2 linked regions of the Saccharomyces cerevisiae S288C genome follow. The protein of the gene in region 1 interacts with the protein of each later gene in a biochemical or structural test. Each region holds a gene or a part of one and is shown in the gene's direction. Other genes may lie near its edges.

Evidence for each region.
Region 2: the proteins of CLN2 (region 1) and CDC28 form a complex in vitro, tested with the Saccharomyces cerevisiae proteins (8 studies listed by BioGRID, with this or other methods).

What each region holds. Positions count from the first base shown.
Region 1 is NC_001148.4:64,692-68,450, reverse strand, and holds CLN2 (cyclin CLN2), read left to right. Parts: upstream 1-1,836; coding exon 1,837-3,474; downstream 3,475-3,759. Other genes in the region: BBP1 (Bbp1p), read right to left, coding at 1-726.
Region 2 is NC_001134.8:558,352-561,633, forward strand, and holds CDC28 (cyclin-dependent serine/threonine-protein kinase CDC28), read left to right. Parts: upstream 1-1,726; coding exon 1,727-2,623; downstream 2,624-3,282. Other genes in the region: IFA38 (ketoreductase), read left to right, coding at 334-1,377. UniProt on the Saccharomyces cerevisiae protein: Cyclin-dependent kinase that acts as a master regulator of the mitotic and meiotic cell cycles. Required to drive the G1-S transition. More than 200 substrates have been identified. Substrate specificity is in part regulated by the bound cyclin protein.

The sequences.
Region 1 (3,759 bases):
CTCACACAAATCTTCCAGGTCTCTACTGTTCAAGTCCATTTGTGCAAAAAGATCAAAATATGCCTTTTTATACTCTCTATTCTTGTGGCAAGCATCTTCGTCCCGGACATAGTAATTGTCTATTTCATCACGTTTTGTTAAGGGAGATGGAAATTTGCCTGGTATATCTTTAACCGATAACTTATAGGGCGATCTTCTAACCTCATTAACTCCATCCTTGTTAAATAATTTCGAGAGCAAAGGGTCGTCTTCCTGAGGTGGTATAAAGGGTATCTGCGAATTGGAAAGCTCATTTATAGTTCTCCTTTTTGTGTGTAGTCTGTGACCAAATGTATCCGTAGGTTCGTTACGAAGTGGTTCTCTCGGTACTATCGGAGCAGGACTTCGTAAAGATCGTATTCTCTCTTTGCTGTGGTGGTCACCGTTAACAATTGAGTTAAAGCCGTTCTCGTTGTACTCTGGGAGTAACTCGTACTTCCTATGGAGCGTTGAATCCAGACCAGACCACGAATTTGACCTCGATAAGTTTGTACTCCTCCTGTTGGAGTCATTTCCAAACTTCATAGAAAAATTTGTGTCGTCTTGGGCATACCTAGATCGGTCTCTTCGTTCTTCCTGATCTTTATATTTCATTGAAGGTGATATGTCCGTACCAAACAGCGCATCCTTAGTCCATTTGAAAAGACCAAAAATGCCCCCTCCGCCCGTGTTGTCTTCCTGATTCATTGTTCAGTAGTCATTCGCCTCTATGCTCCTTCGAAGATTGACTTTTTTCGTTGTTTTGATTTCCTCGTCTTCAGTCTCTTTATGTTGTATTAGTTTTCAAAGTGTCAAGTTTTTCGTGATTTTCACCGAGCGACACAAAAACGGGTCGCGTCAGAAATAATTTTAAAAGAGCAGCGTAATATACCGCTACAGAAAAATTGGTTCAAGTATCCATTTTTAAGCATCTTTGCTTCTATTTACTCTTGAAAATATTCCTCCAGTATCGCCTGTGTTGGAGTGCGGTAACTTTTATTGTTTTCTCTACGAGTGAAAGGCATTTTTTGAAACCACTATTCGTTTCCTTCTGTAAGTTATCTCATCTTTTTCGTATCCTCCGCACTTTTACCCTGAAATGCGAACTAAAGCAACTATACATTGTTAATAATGATACTGAGGTTCAAAAGTGCCAAGTTATCAATTCATGCGCGCTTTACCCGGCTCCATCTTTCCGAAAACGGAAATCATCGCGAAATTTGTCTCAACGGAAGTACACGAAATTCGTCCCGCTGAACCTCAAAACTGCGTGTTCTAGTCACGAAACGCGCCAAAAACCGTTATGTTTCCGCATGCGGATACCTAGCGAAGAGCACATTTGGCGTAGCCTGTTAAGTATAACTGCTAAAAATTGAAATGAACACCAACTGAAACAACTGTTGGCCCTTTTTGAGGATCTAACCTGCGAAATGTTGATCTGACAGGCCTACTGAAAAACGGAAAGGAAAAAAGGCCTGCGCAAACGCAGAACGCAGATCCGCCTTCTATTTGCGTATCGCACGCAGCCTCTGGCTACTTGTTTAACTTACTATCTCTTTCATATATAAAAAAATAGCAATCGACTCTGGTAACTATTATGCTCCTCTTACTGGTTTTTTAGTGAATTGGCAATAGATAATATCAAGGACAACTTACTTTTATTTTAACATCTACTTTACTTCATCGTCAAATTTTCTTCTTATATACAGCATTGCTAGACTCTATAGCTGCCAATTCATTCGCTTACCACATCATAATTTGCATACAAAAGAAAATCTTTTCTTTTTTCCATTCATTCATTAAATTTAACGACAGACAATGGCTAGTGCTGAACCAAGACCCCGTATGGGACTCGTCATCAATGCTAAACCGGACTACTATCCGATTGAGCTATCTAATGCAGAATTACTTTCTCACTTCGAAATGCTGCAAGAATACCACCAAGAAATCTCCACCAATGTTATTGCTCAATCATGTAAGTTCAAACCTAATCCAAAACTAATAGACCAGCAGCCTGAAATGAACCCCGTGGAAACAAGGTCCAACATTATCACTTTTTTGTTCGAGCTGTCTGTGGTCACTCGAGTGACAAATGGTATTTTTTTTCATTCAGTTAGATTATATGACCGCTATTGTTCCAAGAGAATCGTGTTACGGGACCAAGCCAAATTGGTTGTCGCTACTTGTCTCTGGTTGGCTGCTAAAACTTGGGGCGGTTGTAATCACATCATCAATAATGTAGTCATCCCTACTGGCGGAAGATTTTATGGTCCCAACCCAAGGGCACGTATACCTCGACTCTCTGAACTAGTTCATTACTGTGGTGATGGTCAGGTCTTTGATGAATCAATGTTTTTACAAATGGAAAGACATATACTAGACACTTTAAATTGGAACATTTATGAACCAATGATCAATGATTACGTTTTAAATGTTGATGAAAATTGTTTGATGCAATACGAACTTTATGAAAATCAAGTTACTTATGACAAACAATGCTCTGAAAAACGTCAGTCTCAATTATCCCAGGATAGTGATGCCACTGTAGACGAGAGGCCCTACCAAAACGAAGAAGAAGAAGAAGAAGACTTAAAACTAAAGATCAAGTTGATTAATTTGAAAAAATTCTTGATTGATGTATCCGCGTGGCAGTACGACTTACTTAGATATGAACTTTTCGAAGTATCGCACGGCATATTCTCCATTATCAATCAATTCACCAATCAAGACCACGGTCCTTTTTTAATGACTCCAATGACATCAGAAAGCAAAAATGGTGAAATTTTGAGTACCTTAATGAACGGCATTGTTTCCATTCCTAACTCCTTGATGGAAGTGTATAAAACGGTCAATGGTGTTCTACCCTTCATTAATCAAGTGAAAGAATATCACTTGGATCTACAAAGAAAACTGCAAATTGCATCCAACTTGAACATTTCGAGAAAGCTTACCATATCAACCCCATCATGCTCTTTCGAAAATTCAAATAGCACATCCATTCCTTCGCCCGCTTCCTCATCTCAAAGCCACACTCCAATGAGAAACATGAGCTCACTCTCTGATAACAGCGTTTTCAGCCGGAATATGGAACAATCATCACCAATCACTCCAAGTATGTACCAATTTGGTCAGCAGCAGTCAAACAGTATATGTGGTAGCACCGTTAGTGTGAATAGTCTGGTGAATACAAATAACAAACAAAGGATCTACGAACAAATCACGGGTCCTAACAGCAATAACGCAACCAATGATTATATTGATTTGCTAAACCTAAATGAGTCTAACAAGGAAAACCAAAATCCCGCAACGGCGCATTACCTCAATGGGGGCCCACCCAAGACAAGCTTCATTAACCATGGAATGTTCCCCTCGCCAACTGGGACCATAAATAGCGGTAAATCTAGCAGTGCCTCATCTTTAATTTCTTTTGGTATGGGCAATACCCAAGTAATATAGTTCCTGTTCTTTTCATGATAAATGAATGCCAATTTGCCAAACGTACCAAAAAGAGACCAATATTATAAGATTTATAAAAGAAAAGCTTTCATATTCTGCGGGAAAAGAGAGACCACATACTCAGTTTATCGCTATAATTTTAACGGTATATATTTATATTTTTGTAAATCAATGAAACAGCCAACTAAATTCTGTGTAGAGTTAAAAAAAGGACATTAAAAGTATTTTTCTTTGCTGATGGCACTCAAGTCTAATCTTATTAAAAAAAATCGATTATTAGAATAA
Region 2 (3,282 bases), on another chromosome or scaffold:
ACTTTTTACTTGAAATTCCAGAAGGGCCGAAGAAACCAGAATTCCTTCACAGAAAACTATTGAACTACAGAATTCTCCAAAAGATACACTCATAGTGTTAAGACGAATCAATGTCTCGGATTTGGAAGTCCTTTATAGAGATAATTGTAGGGGCCTTTTGTAATGTTTCGGATGTTCTGTTTTAAGTCCGCGGGAGGCCTTTTTATTTTTCGCTTTTTTAGAGATTTCACGAATAAAAGCGTTGCAGAAATGCAACTTCAAAAGAGACTGAAGGAAACACAGATAGAAGAACAGTCTTCAAAGCAATCAATTCGTGTCGGTGCAGCTTAAGAAATGACTTTTATGCAACAGCTTCAAGAGGCTGGGGAAAGATTTAGGTGTATCAATGGTCTTTTATGGGTTGTTTTTGGGCTTGGTGTCTTAAAATGTACAACGTTATCACTTAGATTTTTAGCTCTTATTTTTGATCTTTTTTTACTACCAGCAGTCAATTTCGACAAGTATGGTGCTAAAACTGGTAAATACTGTGCTATCACTGGTGCAAGTGACGGTATTGGTAAAGAATTTGCTAGACAAATGGCGAAACGTGGCTTCAACTTGGTATTGATCTCGAGAACGCAATCTAAATTGGAGGCTTTACAAAAAGAACTAGAAGATCAACATCATGTCGTTGTAAAGATTCTAGCCATTGACATTGCGGAGGATAAAGAATCCAACTATGAATCCATTAAGGAATTGTGTGCGCAGTTACCAATCACCGTTTTGGTCAATAATGTTGGTCAATCACACTCCATTCCTGTTCCATTTTTGGAAACAGAAGAGAAGGAGCTTAGAAATATTATCACTATCAATAACACTGCTACATTATTAATTACACAAATCATTGCACCAAAGATTGTGGAAACTGTGAAAGCTGAAAACAAGAAGTCGGGTACTCGTGGTTTGATCTTAACCATGGGCTCATTTGGTGGTCTGATTCCCACCCCACTTTTGGCTACATACAGTGGTTCGAAATCATTCTTACAAGGTTGGTCTAACTCTTTGGCTGGGGAATTATCTAAAGATGCTATCGATGTTGAATTAATCATTTCATATTTGGTCACTAGCTCGATGTCTAAAATCAGAAGATCATCTTTAATGATCCCAAATCCACAACAGTTTGTAAAATCCACTTTAAGAAGCGTTGGCAGACGCTGCGGCTCTCAAGAAAGATACGCTACTATGACCCCTTACTGGGCGCACGCAGTGTATCAATTTGTAATTACAGAGACCTTTGGCGTTTACTCTAAGATTGTTAACTCCATTAATTATTCCTTCCATAAATCTATCAGAATTAGAGCCTTAAAAAAAGCCGCAAGACAGGTTAAAAAGGAATAGAATTATCGTTCTCGAGATAGTTTTTATACAATACATATATATATATATATATATATATTTACAAGAAAAGCATGGCTTATGTATTATACTTGCTTATGTACCAATATATACATATATGGCCTTATTAGGGCAACAAACGCCAAAAATAAAAACGAACCTAAATGAGAAAAAAAGAGAAAAATTTGGAAAACAACAAGAACTCAAAAAAAAAAATTGGTGGAAGGACCAAGTCCTCTTGAAAGAAAATTTAATACTGCTTTTCCAGAATATCATATTGGAAAAAATATTCAAGCCAGCACATCAGCTACAGTGGAAAATAGCCCAGATCAAATAGAACTATCCTTCGAACATGAGCGGTGAATTAGCAAATTACAAAAGACTTGAGAAAGTCGGTGAAGGTACATACGGTGTTGTTTATAAAGCGTTAGACTTAAGACCTGGCCAAGGTCAAAGAGTAGTCGCATTGAAGAAAATAAGACTAGAGAGTGAAGACGAGGGTGTTCCCAGTACAGCCATCAGAGAAATCTCATTATTGAAGGAATTAAAAGACGATAATATTGTCAGATTATACGATATTGTTCACTCTGATGCACACAAGCTATATCTTGTTTTTGAGTTCCTCGATTTGGACCTGAAAAGATATATGGAGGGTATTCCAAAGGACCAACCGTTAGGAGCTGATATTGTTAAGAAGTTTATGATGCAACTTTGTAAGGGTATTGCATACTGCCACTCACACCGTATTCTGCATCGTGATTTAAAACCGCAGAACTTATTGATTAACAAAGATGGGAATCTAAAACTAGGTGATTTTGGCTTAGCGCGTGCTTTTGGTGTTCCGTTGAGAGCTTACACACATGAAATTGTTACTCTATGGTATAGAGCTCCGGAGGTATTACTGGGTGGAAAACAATATAGTACAGGTGTCGATACATGGTCCATCGGCTGTATATTTGCCGAAATGTGTAACAGGAAACCAATCTTCAGTGGCGATAGTGAGATCGATCAGATTTTCAAGATATTCAGAGTATTGGGAACGCCGAATGAAGCTATATGGCCAGATATTGTCTACTTGCCTGATTTCAAGCCAAGCTTTCCTCAATGGCGCAGAAAAGACCTATCACAAGTGGTACCAAGTCTAGATCCACGCGGTATTGATTTGTTGGACAAACTCCTCGCGTATGACCCTATTAACCGGATTAGCGCCAGAAGAGCAGCCATCCACCCCTACTTCCAAGAATCATAAGCATTATAATCTATTTCGCTATTATATTACAAATGCTACTGCACTGTCATTATAGCCTAGTAAAGTATATAGTGAATACAATATACTCAGTTTCAACATTATGATGGGTAACTCCATCAGAAAATATATTCATCGTCATATACGGAACATTCAGTTATACGCGAAAGTAAAAGTGAGAGCTTTTCAGGGGTTAAAAGCTGGGCGTGTTCCATGACGTATTTACCGAGGTCGTATTATCAAAGAAAATGAAAAAAAAAAAAAAAAAAAAAAAAGCGAAGAGGAAAAAGACAAACGAAAAACAAAACGAAATAACGCATTGTATGCTGGGGCCTCAATTGAACTTCTTTGACTATAAGGAGTTCGCTTGTTTAAAGCCGTTTCGCATCTGACTCGCCCTTGGTTTTTTTCTCTGTTCTTGTTTTTGACCTCCGCAAATTCATTGCTCTTTGAATTTTGAAGAGTTTCATTGTCACCGTTGAATAACCGAGACGGGTATTGTTTTTATTTCCTTCATTATTTACATCGCAACACGATTTTTATTAGCTTCCTCAAGGAGCGCTGACCGTATATAATATAATTTCAACAACCGAACAAGGCAGTGCGAAGCGGTGCACCTTACAACAGTGCTAAAGTAGTTACAGTAAACCAATTAATACGTG